2 linked regions of the Arabidopsis thaliana genome follow. The protein of the gene in region 1 interacts with the protein of each later gene in a pairwise test. Each region holds a gene or a part of one and is shown on either strand. Other genes may lie near its edges. The genes, in order: AT2G39725 and ZF3.

Region 1 (8,337 bases):
TGAAAGTGATTGGAGCTAAATAATGAATTACGAGTCTATGTGAACTAGTTTGTCCCGTTTACATCACTTGGCTCATAGCCTGCTAGCTGATTAAAATTTGAGTATTCTTTGGTGGTATGTTAATAATGATATATAAGATGTTTGTGTTGCATATATATGGTTCTGAATTTCTTTGTGATACAACCTTGACCATAACATGAATTATGGAAATATGTATGGGTGAATTGGTGAAATAATCAAAAAGTAAAGTAACATTGGTGAATCAACATGTTTATTCCAAAACTGGTCAATGCCATAAAGTAGTGTTTGCCTTTATAACTTATTATTTGAAACTTTATAGATCAAACATCACAATTTGCGCATATTATTCATATAAAACAGTTGAAGTTATATCATGGAATATTAAAACAGCAAAAAGAAACCTATTCATTATATAATTGCATGAAAAAATAGAAGAATAGTGTAAGACTCTACTATTGTATTTTCTTGATATAATATGGGCCCTGTATATGGGTGCTAAACAGACCATAACATAGCGCTGGGCTTAGAGTCACATACACTAAGAATGTTATTTCAGACACAAGGCCTCTCTCAGCGAGAGTGAACAAGTGAGAAATGTGTTCAGTTCATGATTTTAGGAGGCTGAGTAAGGGTTTAAGTGGTTGGTGTTTTCTATCTACTAGCCTTATGTTAGCATTGGTGTTGAATGTTGATTTTCCACGTTGGATACGATCTGAACTTCCAACATGCGAGGTTGATGATACTCATGGGCACAAAACAAATTCTCTCTTTTCTGGTTTTTTTATTTAAAAAAAAAAAAAAAAGTTTGGCATTTCATTAGGAAAATCTGAATTTTGTCTTTAAGTAATCGATTTTCAAATCCCTAACTTTAATACTTAACTTCAGAAGGCTAAGCATTTGGGTTTAGGTCATTTTTTTCCTGCTATTGTTGATATTCAACGGCCCGAAAAATAGAAAACAAAATCAGTTTCAAATTCAATAATGTGATAGAGTAAGTGTACATTCACATAGGAGACATAAACGGGCATAAACAAATCTATTAATGGAAAATAATGGCTAAATTACAAAGACTGTCTCCAATAAACGACAGCATCATCAGATGCGTTGTATAAAAACTCTATTATTGCTTTACTTCACGTTTCCTGTGGTTATTGACCTCAAACTTAATTGGTCTCTTTATAAGATTCTTCTATATATAGCCTCTAGGTAAGTATCATTGGGTTGTGTCTGCAGTTCCAAGATTATAGCTGTACAAGTTTGGCAGCATAATTCTCTTTAGGCGTGGAAAATAAACCATCAACTTAAAAATTAATGAAAAACTTAGGTTTGAACACTAAAGATTTAGTCATCTAAGTATGTACTCACAGGTTAATATATATTAAAACCCATAGTATTGGTTAGTAACACCACATATGTATACTCTGAAATGAATTGCAGGAAATCTACTCCACAAAATAACTTTTCAAGTTTGTTGAAAAGTCATGTAATGATAATATCGTTTGGAAATCATTCGCTATTTTATGGTTAAGCTGCTTAACATTAGTATCACAATCCATAGACTCACGTAACGATTTCTACAAATAGAACAACTATGAATCTCCTTCAGAGTACATTCTTCAATTCATCTACACTCTCACTTATCTAGTCACAGACTCACAGTAACATATCCTCCTAAATTTGCCACTGAAGACACTATGTCACCTAATTTTGTATCAATTTACTCGCATAGATTCAAATTTTAGGAATGAATATAATCATTACACTGAAATAGACAAAAACTTAATAAGGAACATAGGAAAAATTTAAACAGAAGAAGAGTGTGTTCTTTCGTGTTTAGTTTTCACCTGAGAAGAGAGCTTGGTAATTCTAGTAATCACGCTAGCCAATTTCGTCTCCTTGACGAAGACGACGCCGTACTGAACATAGAGAACGACCTGGTTCTACGAGTAACCCGAATTCTGGACCCGGACCCGGATGATGCAGCAGCAGCAGCAGCAATGGATCCAGATGATCCACTAAAACATCCGAAAAGCCTCATGATCCGACCCGCAAAGCCACCACCTCTCTCTCTACTACCTCCACCATCTCTTCCACCTCTTCTCGAACCCCAAGCTACTCTTCTCGGAAGTCTCTCATCACCGAGTCTACCACCATCAACCTCCGTGTAAACCACCGGCATCATTCTATCTCCACCTCTCCAACCACCAGGGATTCTCCCTACAGCGAATCCTCCACCTGGTAACCTCCAAATCGTTAACCCCGCAGCTGAGTCTTCCTCTTCCTCTGCAGTAGCGGTAACAGCAGTCAAAGCAGCACCGGTTCCGTCGGTGAGATCCTCCGCCGGTAGCTCATGACGGCAAACCGGACAAGAGTTACGAATCGCAAGCCAAGGAAGAATACAATCAGGATGATAGATGTGATTACAAGGCATCTCGCGAGCAGATGATTTCAAAACGAAATTCTCTTTGCAAACAGCGCAATGAGATTGAGAATCCGATAAGAGATGAGTCGGATCGATTTCAATCAGAGGCAAAGCTTCAATGGCCGATTTAGAAGCCGGTGGATGTTCACAAGAACGAAGATTCCGATTGGTGTTAAGCTCGATCTGAGAAATCTGATCTAACAAACGATCAAATCCAGAACCTAACAAAAACTCAGTCATACTCGGTGGTAAAGGTCTAAGACCAGAATCAGTACCATCATCGTAATACATCTGAAAAGCAGATCGATCTAAACCTTCGGAAACAACATCAGAAGAAGGAGCAGCAGCAGATCCACGGAGAACAATAACTGGATTAGGAGATCGATTGCTTCGTGTACGAGTAACGATGGTAGGAGTGGGACTGTTATCGGCGTGCATAGAAGCGGATGGGGTGGAGGAAGAAGAAGAAGGAGGAGGGAAGCGAGTGGGGCTGCGATGTTGAGTGGTGGTGGTGGTGGTGAAGGAATCGGAAGGTGTGAAATCGAGAGGCTCTTGGATGAGTTCGAGGAAACCACCGTCGCAATCAGGGCAAGAGATTGAATCGGAAACCCAAACGAATCGGCTACAACTATAGCACCAGTAAGATCCAGAAGCCATGAGAATAGGGATCTGAAAGAGAGGAAAATGAAATCAAATCTTCAGGAAGAAGAAGATGATAAAAACATCTGGGAGGATTTGGGATTTGATATGATTGACTTTTAATTTGAGGATAAACGGAGGAGAAGAAGGAGGTGTTAACAAGAAGATTACAGAATTGGCTTATACCCAACCGTCCATTTCGTGTGCTGTCACCACCACCTCCTCCTCTTTTTTTTTTTTTCCTCCTTGTTGGTAATTTTAATTAAACGGTTTTTTTTTTTTTTTTGAAAATTGAAACTGTTTGTTACCCTGAAATAATAACTACCCATCACCCCCACTAATTCATATTTTTGATTATTTAGATTAGTGATTTTGATTGTAAAGTGGTAAAAAAAAAAAAGAGTCTTGACCAACAACAAAAAAGTCGGTAAGTAAAAGAGTAACAAATTGCTTAACATATTTGCAAAACTATAAATAACAATGTGTTTTTGATTAAATTACGTATTATTGGATAAAATAACAATAAACTAAAATATTGTTTGCTTAAAAGATTGGTCAACTAGTTAAAACTTAAAAGATTTAGGGTCATTTGGTTTATATTCTCTTAATGAAAGTATAGAAGAAAAAAAAAAGAAAAGCCCATTATAGTCAATAGATAAAGCCCATTTATATTGTAATAATGCAAAAGCGTAATGAAAAAGCCCAGTATAGCCCATTAACTATTGTAATTTCGCCTCGATTAAATTGTCCCAGAATAGTTAGTGAGAAGAATCCCAGAGTTTCTTCCATCTCTCGCTCTTTCGATTTTGGAGATATTTACAGGTACGCTTGCTTTTCCCTTCACAACATCTTCTTCTTCCTGCTCCTCTGTTTCAAATTCCGAAAATCAGGTATTTCTCTTAATCTGGAAAATGTTCTATTTGAGGAAATGAAATTATGCCACTTCTGCTAGTATTTTTTGTGTGATGAAACAGCCCTGGATCTCGTTGAATCAGATACTGTCACAATTTTGTTTACATATATATCTTCTTGAGCTATATTATCTGAGTTTGAGTAATAGACAATAGAATTTAAAATCCTTGTTAGTCACAATTCTGATTAGTATCGTTCGTTTTCTCTCTGAATCTGAGGCCAACATTGTCTGTTTTGCTTGAAGAACCCTGTTCTCTTGTAGACTCATTAACCGCTTTTGTTATAGCTGAATATTCTATTTCTAAGCTGCACTACATGATTCCTAATTTCTTTTGTCTACATGTTATCTTATTGATTGTTGTTCATCACTATGCTTAATTGTTTCTTATGTGCTTGAAAAATGCAGTAACATGACAATATTATTGATTAGCTTGTTTTGTTTGGTCTTTGTTTAAAGATAAAAAATGGGAGCTTCGAAACTTTCCGGGATGCAAAAGCAAGTCTTGAGTCTCTACAGAGGATTTCTAAGAGCAGCTCGTTCAAGACCAATAGAAGACAGGAAGAGAATAGAGATGATTGTGTCAACAGAGTTCCGCCACAACTCTAAGGAGGTCGACCGTAAGAATTTTCAGTACATCGAGTATTTGCTTCGGTTAGGTACTAAACAGCTTGATCAACTCAAAAGCCCTGCCATAGTTAGCCTCTCCTCGATCAAGGTCGTTACATCTAAAACCTGATACCTTATTTTATAGCTTGTTGCTCTAGTGACCATAGATAACAAAGCTGAGGAAATTGATTCGTTTTCCTCTTTTTACATTGAGTTATGTATGTATGATGATGGATGTTCAAGGTCCATTATAAAATAAAGAGAATTGTGATCACAATTGAATATATATATACACTTTCACACAATTATGTGCATCTGCTAATAGTCTAGAGATTGCAATCATTCAATATGAGAAGCAATGTATCAGATTTCATCTTTGTAAGAGTACCAGTCAATGGTGTAGTGCTCCGTTGCCAATGGTCTTGCTTTACATGTGAATGCGACACATTGTTTTTTTCCGGATTCAGTTTTGTCCTATAGTTCTGTTCTACTTAGTGCTATTTGGCCTCAGATTTTGTATACTTTATATGTCTAAGCATTTACCTAGTGTGCAACATTGGAATAAGAAGTGTAGTTTATGACAAGGCAATTTTAAATTACCAATGTGTTGTACATCATAAAAAAAAAAAAAGGGAACAAAAGAGGACAAGATCCAATCCACAATTACACAAAGGAGAAAAATAAACCAAAAGAGACAATAGGAGTAAAACAGCAAATTAATAAGCAGGATAATATTGCTCAAAAGTTGTAGACACAGGTTCCATCGTCACTTCTAGCCGTTGGATCAAAGTTTTCAGCCACAGGATCAGTACACCCTTCAGGAACTGGCAGGTTTACTTGCTGGGCTCCTTTTCCTGCAAGTCAAGTAAGTTTAACTTCAGAAAACCTAATTCCATTTTCTTCTCTTTCTCTTTTACATTTTCATACCCAGTGGCCAACTAAACCAAAAAACAAACGAGTTTCAAACCTCTGTTTTACCGTAGAAAGTTCCGCGGCCGATGGCGTCAGCGTTTGCGTCTCCCAAAGCAGCCTGGCTGAGGTAGGTCTCGGCAAGTTGGACTCTCTTGACATTCTCTTGTTCCATCACAAGCATGTTTCCGTATTCCATAAGCTTCTCATAAGTCATCTCGGGTTGCTCGAACACGGGAGGTCCTTCCCTTGAGTTAACCAGCCTCTTTCCGATCTTCTCAACTCCAAGGCTCTCAACGAACTTCCTCACTTCATCATCGTACACTCTCGCCCTCAAAGCACCGAAGAAATCTGTCCACACCAAAAACACATATCAGATTCTGCACGAGGTCCTATATAGAACATTTTCAGGGTAGTAAGAATCTTTCTTACCGATAGATTGACCAGGGAACTGATCAACAAGTGTGACAATGTCTTCGTCCTTGATCTTGTCAGTTCTGAAGATACCCTTGCAGACACCGATACGGTCTTCACGGGTCGGGGCCCAGTAGAACTTCTCCATACGTCCATCACGGATGAGAGGAGCGTATAGGGTGGAGAAATCGTTACCAGTGCAAATGATGGGGACACGTGCGTTCTCTTCCTTGTTGTACATTCCTGGGAGCTGGACGTTGGTTGGGTTATCAGCAATGTTCATGAGTGTTGCGTTAACCATCTGGTTGTTGACAGTGTACTGAGTAGTACCACCCATACGACCCGCACCAGCGTCAAGATCGTTGATGAAGAGACAACACATCTTTCCCTTCTTGATCAAGTCAGCTGCCTCACGGTACCTCTGACGGATAAGCTTTGCGGGTTCTCCTGCGTTTCCACTCTCAAGCTCTCCAGCACTCATCATGATTGGGCTGCAAAAAGATTCAAACTTTTTTAGATTCTTGTCGAAAGAGAGCTAAACAGAAACCGGGTCAAGATCGGAGATTTGGGAAATGGACTCACTTGATACCCATCTTGGCCATGACAAGCTCACACTGGAAGGATTTACCTTGACCTTTGCCTCCCCATATACCCAAAATAAGTGGAACCTATGAGACAAAAAAAACAGGCATTTAAAGATCAATAAAGTTGTGTAATAAGTCAAGATTGCACCAAAAAATACTCAAAAGAAAAACTTTAAATTATACCTTGATGTTAGGCAGAGTCAAGAAGTTCTTGGTGATGTGAACAACAAGCTTGTCCATGAAAGCAGGAGCAATGTAAAACCCATCCATCATGTTGTCCAAGTTGTACCTATATTTCAAGAAGTAAAGACAATTTTTAAAACCAAAGACTCCAAAATCTTTATGGAACTAATGAGAGATCTAGAGAGATGAGAACTTACTGCCTAAGGCCTTGGCTAACGTATTCGTATGAGCTAAGGACAGCGTGGTGAGTTCCGGTTCCCATAGGAGCTTGGAAGACAGAGTCAACCATACCCTTGCCTCTGGTGATGTCTTGTTGATCATCAGAAGTGTCGTAGGCAAGACCTCTCCATCTGTCTCCATCGGTTTGTTTGTCTTCTTTCACAGCCAACACCTTGAATGATCCGTTGCTCTTCTTGTTGCTCTGTGCGAATCTCGACACAGTTACAACTTTCTTTCCCAAGAAGGTTGAAGCTGGGGCTGATACAGCTCCTGATCCTGACCCGTTCAAGCTCAACTGCAACACACACACAAAAACAGTTCAATCACCAATCATGAATTCAAGTTTGGTTTATATGGTTCAAGAACCGGTTTAGAGACTATTCCTAAGGATAAAAGGCGCTCAATCAGGAACTGAACCGAACCAAACCGGGGAATAAACTTTAATTTGGTTCACATAGCTCAAGGTATAGACTAGTCCTGAAGACTAAAGAGTAGTAGTAGTCTCTACAGTTTCAGTTCAATTACTATACATCGATTTAAACACATCTACTAAATCTATAGTTCACAAGTAGAGAATAAAAGAAGCATCAAAGTATCTTTAGATTTCCTAGTTAAAGTCCTGATTCTTCTGTTCTGTCAGAGAATCTCAAAGTGATTCAAACGATCAAATTCTTGAGCTATATTTGTAAAAACCAAAGCTATTCAAGTGGTGGATAAGCACAAAGCGTTAAGATTATGTTAAAAGTAACATTAAACCACTAATGGAGATTGAAGTGTACCGGAGCTCTGTTGATGGCACCGACGGTGGAAACTGCGGCGGCCATATCTCAAGACTGCGACGAGTATGCGTCACAACACAAGAAGCTGAAGAGAGGAATTAGATTGGTAGAAGAAGAAGCTTAGAGAGATGTTGGTGTGAGCAAGAAACTGAGAGATTTATAAAGCGAGTGATCAACAACCAATTCGTTATCTCTTCGTCTTCAAGGCTTAACTCTCTGATCGCCACACGATGCGGATTGGCCAAGTTGCCACGAGGAAGATGATTAGGAGGATTCTATTTTGATTGGTCCACGTGGAATATGTTTATGAGGTTGTCGTCAAATGGCTAATCTGTGCCAATGGATTTGTTTTTTTTTTCAAGTGAAGATTATAACATTATTTATTACCACATATGCTTTGGAAAATCATTGTTTTTTTTTTTTTTTTTGAGGATTGAGGTAAGCCATTCATATGTGATCAAGATACTTCTACACTCTTCTTCATACGATAACATTCCAAAATTTTGGATAATGACATTGCTTATCGATAATAATGTTCCAAATAACCGATGTAAACTGATTGGTGGAGAGAAATTGGCTTAGCCAATAGAATATAATTCTAATTTTGTTATATACAACTCTAGATACAACAGGTATCAAGTATGTGGT
Region 2 (8,100 bases), on another chromosome or scaffold:
AAAGTGACATCTAATATATTCCTAAACTGAGAATATATTCTCATATATGCTTCACAAGACACGGTTCGATTATTTGATTCTTGTTCATGTCCTTCTGAAAACATCTAAGATAATATTGGATAAATGCATAAAACATTAGCACGTCCGATCCCCTTCGCAGAGACTGCGCATGCACTCACAAATATTCGTATTCATAAATTCTAACTCGCCTTTTAATTATGTATACAACGGTAATTATGTTAAAAACTAGCTTCCGAAATAAAATCTGAAAAGTACCTCTAATATTTATGAAATTAAATAAACACATCTAGTACGTACGATATTGAATTGATATCTAAATAAATATTGGTAGTCCTTAAAATAATATTTATGACTTTCAGGTACATCTTAAAAGAAGATTAAAATTAAAATGCTGTTAGTCCAAATTGTCTTTAGCATATAATAATTACAAAAAGAGTGTCAAGTTCATAGAACGCAATAGACAGAAAAATTGAACAACTCAAACAAAAAATAACCATAATCATGAATATAGAACGAGAAAAAAAACAAGTACTGTAAGTTATGTTATTCCAATGATTTTGTCTTAAATAAGCCGAGACAAAAGATTGTGATGTAGTCCCATATTCAGACCATTGTGAGCAAGAGGTGCATACATCCATAGATCTTCTGAACTCAAGAGCTACATTGCAAAATTTCCAAAAACGACAAAAGTGTTTGGTTAGGAAAAATGGTAAAACAGAGTTTAGGTAAGAGTTTTACATGGTTTCTTGCAGTACAAGAAACGATCAATACTCCAACAAGAAAAAAAGTCGTTACCTTGATTTGAAGCTGCAGGAACTTCACGTAATGGACAGCATCTTCCAGCATTGTGCTTATATCGACCTTTGTCCCATTAGGAACTAGGCTCTGCAATGTCTTTAGCCTATCGTTTATCCTTTCTCTTCGTTTCTGCAACATTCATCAACATTATTATTCCACAAAACCTAAAAACTCAAATCAACAATGAAAATATTTGTTTAGGTTATCTTGAATTACCCTAGCGTATAGGCTCTGAGGATCGGAAGCTATCCCTCTGTTGGCTTTCGCTTTGCGTTTTAGGCTTTTTGATGTATTAGACACTAAACCTAAAGCCTTTTCATCATCTGAACTATTATAACTGCTTAGGCTTTGACCATCTCTCCAAGCAGTCTTAGGCTCGGTAACCAAATTGCTTTCCGAGCTTAACTTTTGCTTCTTCCTTGGTTTCAACAGATCCTGCTTTGCATTACCGTTATGGGTTAATATTCGACAAATGTAAACATAGGAAACTTAACATTTTTTACTTAAACTTACTTGTCTTGAGTCGACATTTCGGTTCGTTTGGTGGTTGGAACCATCAAGAACGGCCGCATAGTTACTTTGCAGAATTGTACCAAATGGGAAGAAATCATCAGAAGAGAAAACATCAGTCTCATTTGGAGCATTGCAAAAGCTCGATTCGTTAGATGAACATTGATCAAAGTTGAACATCCCCAAAAGAGACTCCAATTCACCATCTACAAAAGCTTCATTCTCCATTTTTCTTTTCTTATGCGTTCGCCTTTACATTTATATATAGCAACGTTCAAGCTTATATTAGAGACATGAGGAGAATAACTTTGAGAAGGAATATAAATATTTGATGGCTGATTATAAAATCAGGGTTTTAAAATCTCATTGTATCTTGAACAAGTCTTAATGTTCTTAACCTACCATGCTCAACTACGATTAGTCAACTTGTGGGGTCGGTAAAAGCCAAGTTTAGACAGAGTCAAAGAGGTTATGCCACTCCATTGCATGACGAGTACATTAATGTTAGTATATTCTATATATATATAGAAGGATTCATGTTTTTCAATGAATGTTAAACATTTTAATGTACACACAATCACAAATAGAGTAAAGAAAGAATATATGGGGCGCCCCCAATGCACGTTATGTACAAAAATGTCCTGTGACAATGAACTTGTTTTGTTAGTTTTCTAACGTTTGGGAAAATAAATAGTCAATGAAATACTATAATCCAGATGTGAATAATTTCTCTTTTTCCGCAAAACATGGATGATCTTACGTTGGGGTTCGGAGTGTCGATCCATCCAATAAGAAAAAAATTCACGATTCGCTTAAACTAATTAAACTGTAGACATGTAGATATTATCGTTAATGTCCGAGTGTCGGATCACATAGCGAGTCCAAAAAAAGTGAATTCACAACCCAACATTTTTACTAACTAATTTTTTAAAAAAATATTCTAACTACAAATCGAATCTAATTAACCCAATAAGAATTGAATACGTAATTAAAGATGATGATAAACAATATAGACGAGCTACTTTTTAGTCTAAACAACAATTTACTCGTGACTAGAATATGTATCTGCATGCTAATGTGGTCGTTGTCTAATTAGCTTGATTCAAATTCCTATAATACATATTGTTAAAAGATAATGAACAAAGTAATAGTAGAAGACCAAAGGACGGCACGGAATAATTTGAGATTCCGACAAGATCAGATTCACACTCGTTTGCTTGTCTTAAGATCACCCTTACAGAGACAGATAAAATTTAATAAGTCAAAAGTCATTGTCCATAATAAAAACAAAGAAACACAGCTCGGAAATGTATTCTTGTCTCTAAGTTTGAGTTAAGGTACAATGCATTAATCTCACCGATTAGCTATTCATTGGTTGTTAGATCTATTTTTTCAACATCCCGTTACTAGATTAATTATAAAGTTTTTTCTTTCTAAAGATTACACACAAGTTTATACTAGATGTTGTTAAGCTATTGATGATTCAACCATGCATAATCTGTTACCGACGATTCTCCCATTGCAACATAACCCAAAAGGTCCCCCTTCCGCTTGTGAAAGGAAAAACTAAAGGTTTAGAGATATATGCACACATTATATTCGTGAAAGCACATGCATGACCCATATGTTTTTCAAGAGTTTACGAAGGTCATCGTTGCTCAGGCCACCAAACTTTGCTGGTATATCTGCTTCGGTAGCTTGTCTTAAACTCGTTAGTTGCAGCAAGCCTAAGAATCATTACACTTCATTAGGCTTTTCGTTTTTAGGCATCTAACATGATGTGTCTTTTAGATCTCGTAATGTGAGAAAAGAGAGAGAGATAGGTTACTCTTAGAGAATTAGGTTAATTAATTGTTGGAAATTATTTTTTAGTTAGCATAAAGACCTAATTATATAAGTAATTATACAATCTATATTATAACGTAAATAGCTAGTAAAAATGATACAACTTAGATTCTAACCTAAACGTGAAAAAAGCACCCATAATCCTAACTTTAAAAGAAAAGTCCCAAAACCTTATACTAAAGAGAAGACCATTAAACCAAAACTCTTATACCGTATCATGACACAAGTTGTTGAATCCAATTTAGTGTAACTTCAACTCTAGACATTCACGCATTTGAATTAAAACCAATAAAGAAAATTTCATGATTCTTGGTTGCAATGGGCTGTGGGAATTAAGTTATAAGCTCTTTGTTTCTTGTTGTCATGAGTTCTCTACCGAAACATCCAATCATCTTTTATATTCAAGGTTTCCTCATTATAATCTTAATCTACACACATTGCCTCCGTTTTCAAATGTTTGGACCAAGTAATGAATGCTATTGGGTTTGTTCAGAAATTCCCAAAGGTACAACAAACCTACACTTAAATAAATAACTACATATATAAGCAAAGTGTTAAAACATAAATGAAAAGCTAGATGAATATTAATTGTAAAATACGGCCTAAGTTTAGAGACAAGGTTTTTATTAGTTTTAAAGAATCAATCATTATTGTGTGTAGTTGGATTCAAATGTCAACTCTCAACTAGTCAGAAGAAGAGTATATAGCCCGACTTGTGTAACATTTCTCTCCCCCACAAAACGTGCCAAAATTAATATATTCCACTCTCACCAAATGTTGAAATAATATTTTAATTATACATTCACTTTCGTTACAACTTACAACAAACAACTTGCTCAGCACATATTTCGTTTCAACTAAATACTTAAAATAATTAGAATGGCCAATTTGGCCACCCACTCTCACTCTTCTTTCTCACGCAACTTCCTCTCTTCTCAAGATTCTTCTCCATACTTCACCTTCTTCTATATATCTCTCTGCTCTCAAATTAGGTTTTAAATTTTCTATAGCAATGGCGCTTGAAGCTCTTAATTCACCAAGATTGGTCGAGGATCCCTTAAGATTCAATGGCGTTGAGCAGTGGACCAAATGTAAGAAACGATCCAAACGTTCGAGATCTGATCTTCATCATAACCACCGTCTCACTGAGGAAGAGTATCTAGCTTTCTGTCTCATGCTTCTTGCTCGGGATGGCGGCGATCTTGACTCTGTGACGGTTGCGGAGAAGCCGAGTTATAAGTGTGGCGTTTGTTACAAGACGTTTTCGTCTTACCAAGCTCTCGGCGGTCATAAAGCGAGCCACCGGAGCTTATACGGTGGTGGAGAGAATGATAAATCGACACCATCCACCGCCGTGAAATCTCACGTTTGTTCGGTTTGCGGGAAATCTTTCGCCACCGGTCAAGCTCTCGGCGGCCACAAGCGGTGCCACTACGATGGTGGCGTTTCGAACTCGGAAGGTGTGGGGTCTACTAGCCACGTCAGCAGTAGTAGCCACCGTGGATTTGACCTTAATATTATACCGGTGCAGGGATTTTCGCCGGACGACGAAGTGATGAGTCCGATGGCGACTAAGAAGCCTCGCCTGAAGTAAGTCTTTGTTGAAGACCTGGAAGTTTATCAAATGTAAATATCAAATTTCAATTTCAAGGAACAGTTTTGTTGATTCTATTACCAATACACAATACGATTCAATTCCTTTGTTTCTGAAGTAACAGCATACTAAATTCATTAGAAAACCGAATCGAAAATATTTACAACTGACTTTTGTTTGGTTGTTAAACTATCAAGTGAATTTGGCCTCTCTATTTGAATTAGATGATCTCCTTACATTCTCATAACTCCAAAATTGCCGATAATGAGTAGCTTTCTTACTTACACTCTGTTTTGTTAACTTTGCCACCTTACTATTGTAGCTGTGTAACCTGTGTCCTCAAACTGCATTCTGTTACCTGCATAGTTTAGAGATTAATCCCCAACACTGTAGGTATAGTGCAGACAAATCTATAATGAATTTGAGATATTGTACCTGCAGAGCTGAGATTGTGTTTAGAAGGTCCCGGCACACGTCGAGCATCCCTTCGTCCTTGGCATTCACACGGCCAAGTTCTGCTGCCAAGCTACTTATTTTCCCAACCTGGGATATTGGCTTTCACTTTGAAGATACAATATGAATAAAACGCAATAGAAGATTGTGCCATAAACATTATCCGAGAGAAAAGAAGAGTCACCTTTGGCAGCAACAAGCATATGGAAGATGCCATTGCTTGCATAACATCAACTGCTGAACAAATGGCATCCTTAACACTTTGTACATTTACCTGCGATAACATGATCATCAGCAAGGATCACATGCTTTCCCAACACATAACTAAAAAATAATTTGAGTAGAATAGCCAAACCATTGCCCCGCAATCAACAGGTAGACAAAGGGTGCTGCCTTTCAAAGCTTCAGCAGCTCCTACCAAAGAACCCATATAATTCCGATCAATAACCAACCACTCTTCTAGATGTCCCATCTATACATAGGCATGAAAAACATTTAAGTTTCTGGCTAAGTAAAATTCAATTAGATGAAGCTTTTAGGAGGTCCCAATGCTGTAATAAGCAGAGCATACAAAGGAACCGAAATAGAGATATAAAAGAAAGAACAGAAAAGGGAAGAACAGAAGACTGAGAGTAACTTATATAGTGTTACTAAAAGAGCACAGGGGCTAAAGGCAGTTCAATAAATAACAAAAGCGGATTAACTTACCTGCATATTGAGGATAGATATCAGTTTCAAATTCTGCTTCAGGTGCTGCATTTCAATTCTTTTCATGCTGACAGAATTATACAGATTAGAGATACTTCTCCATGCATTGTACAGTCTTCTCTGCAATGAAAAATATAATCACTTGGACAGAGACAAGCCTGTACTAACATAAATAAATTCGAATTTTCAACACAACACAGATGTACGTACGAGATTGTTTTGACTGAAACTGACAGATTTCTACAACCAATAGCTGTTGTGCTATCAATAATCAAGATTCTAAAGCATTCAGGAAGAAAAGGTCTAACCTCCTCTCTCATCTTTTGTGAAGAGATAACAGCATTTGCTCGTGCATTAGCAAATTGCCATTGCAGCAACCTACTGTGTAATAGCCTTAACAAGTGAGCATCAGCAACCCCATTATCTCTGATCTTCTCTTTACCATCCACAGCAAAATGCGGAATCAAAGGCGTGTTTTTACTCAGTGAGCTTCTCACTCTTAGTGGACTCATTCTATCTGAAGGACTAACCCCTCTTGGAGGAACAACCTCTCTCGAAGGGCTTAAACCTCTAGCAATGCTAGTTCCTCTCGGACTTGACAAAGCTGCATTCATACCAAATTTACTAGGTGAAGCAGGTCGAATCTGCTCACTTTTTGGAAACAATTGGCTTCCTTTGGGGACAATACAGAACTATCCACAGATATCTTCCTCAGTCCATGTGAGCTAGGCTCTAACCGATCCTGCGAAACTCTCGCCTTAACCACATTGCCACGAGCTGGTAACATTTTCCCTCTTCCATTAGAGCTTCCAGAAGAAACACTCTCTGTCTCCAAATCAACACTCGTTATCCGCTCACGCGAAACCGGTCTATTACTAACCATGGAATCCTGCAGAGCTCTAGCTACACCATTGCCAGATCCGATCAATTTCTTCCTAGTATCAGTGAAATCTACACTTCTACTACTTAAACAACTAGGTTGCAGAGACCTAGGCCATTGATCAGAGAGTTTCAATTTCTCTTGTTTACCTCCACCACTCTTAGATATTGTTGCCGAAGAAGTCGTCTTCCTCCTCTCTAATGTTCCTGGAGTAAACGAATCCGCCTGAAACGACGCGAACAAGCTTCTCCCAGAAGTCAACAACATCCTCTCCGCTTTAGAAACTTCTCGTCGATCTAAAGACTCACGACGTGGTGTTGATTGCGGCCGATTAGTAGCAACAGACGACGGAGTCACCGGTCGAGTAACGATCGGAGATTGACATCTCTTCGGTGATGATTGGTGGAAGAAAGAAGAAGTACCGCCAAGGTATCGTGATGCTACATCTCGTGTTTTTGGGCGGCGATTTGATGATTCCGATGGAAACGACGGTGGTTTGTTCTGTTTAACGTTTGCGTTGAAAGAAGGTGAAATTGTTGCAGCTGTCATCTCCGACATTGAGAAATCAACATTGCCTCGTTATTGAATGTGAGCAAGGAGAGATTGAATAGAGAAGATTTTTACGGATTTGAGAGATTCCCGGCGAGACTAGGGTTTTGATTTTAGTAGAAATGTGAGTGAATTTTGCAGTGTTAGTATAAATCTCCGGCGAACTTGAGAATAGAGTGGGGAAGGTGGGGAGATAATTACGTTTAAGTTTTGTGAGGGTATAACTGTCGTCTCTTTCCTTTATTAATTAATATGGCTTAACATGCGTAATTGTGTATGCGTATTATTTATTGAAATTTAAGAAATTATTTTATAAAAAAAACTCAAAACCAAACCTTAAAATATAAAGAGCAAATAAAGATTACAATTTTCTGTGCAAATATGCATATCCATTCCTGGTAATAACAAATATTATGAAATACTATAAATAGAAGACAAGTTTGCATTATTTATTTAAATAAAATAAGTTGAATAAGAGATATGAAATAAATAAATCATAAACAAACTCTTCTTTTATGATACAAGATTTTGAAAAGTTTCATTGTCACTTATGTCACTAATATGGATCCCACCTTCTGTTGTGATCTTTTGAGATTTTCCATGTAATTACGATATCTTTTCTTGTTTCTTGCAGTAAGTCTATGTTCTCTTTCTTTGGTCGTCTCATGATTGTAATGAGATAACATATGTGCAGCAAAACTTTGAGAAGTATTAAACACACCTTTACATTTAGAACATGTAT

Evidence for each region.
Region 2: the proteins of AT2G39725 (region 1) and ZF3 interact in a two-hybrid assay, tested with the Arabidopsis thaliana proteins (one large-scale study listed by BioGRID).

What each region holds. Positions count from the first base shown.
Region 1 is NC_003071.7:16,565,612-16,573,948, forward strand, and holds AT2G39725 (LYR family of Fe/S cluster biogenesis protein), read left to right. Parts: upstream 1-3,818; 5' UTR 3,819-3,904; exon of another isoform or gene 3,905-3,972; intron 3,973-4,451; 5' UTR 4,452-4,458; coding exon 4,459-4,731; 3' UTR 4,732-5,137; downstream 5,138-8,337. Other genes in the region: RHC2A (RING-H2 finger C2A), read right to left, coding at 1,895-3,100; RCA (rubisco activase), read right to left, coding at 5,340-5,455, 5,580-5,861, 5,943-6,415, 6,507-6,592, 6,692-6,797, 6,889-7,205, 7,690-7,734.
Region 2 is NC_003076.8:17,327,718-17,335,817, reverse strand, and holds ZF3 (zinc-finger protein 3), read left to right. Parts: upstream 1-4,171; 5' UTR 4,172-4,186; coding exon 4,187-4,768; 3' UTR 4,769-4,873; downstream 4,874-8,100. Other genes in the region: AT5G43175 (basic helix-loop-helix (bHLH) DNA-binding superfamily protein), read right to left, coding at 584-679, 817-948, 1,036-1,254, 1,333-1,557; QWRF9 (QWRF motif protein (DUF566)), read right to left, coding at 5,082-5,126, 5,204-5,311, 5,406-5,495, 5,577-5,693, 5,930-6,049, 6,238-6,543; AT5G43155 (QWRF motif protein), read right to left, coding at 6,578-6,602, 6,667-7,358. UniProt on the Arabidopsis thaliana protein: Transcriptional repressor probably involved in abiotic stress responses. Binds DNA in a sequence-specific manner and can repress the transactivation activity of other transcription factors.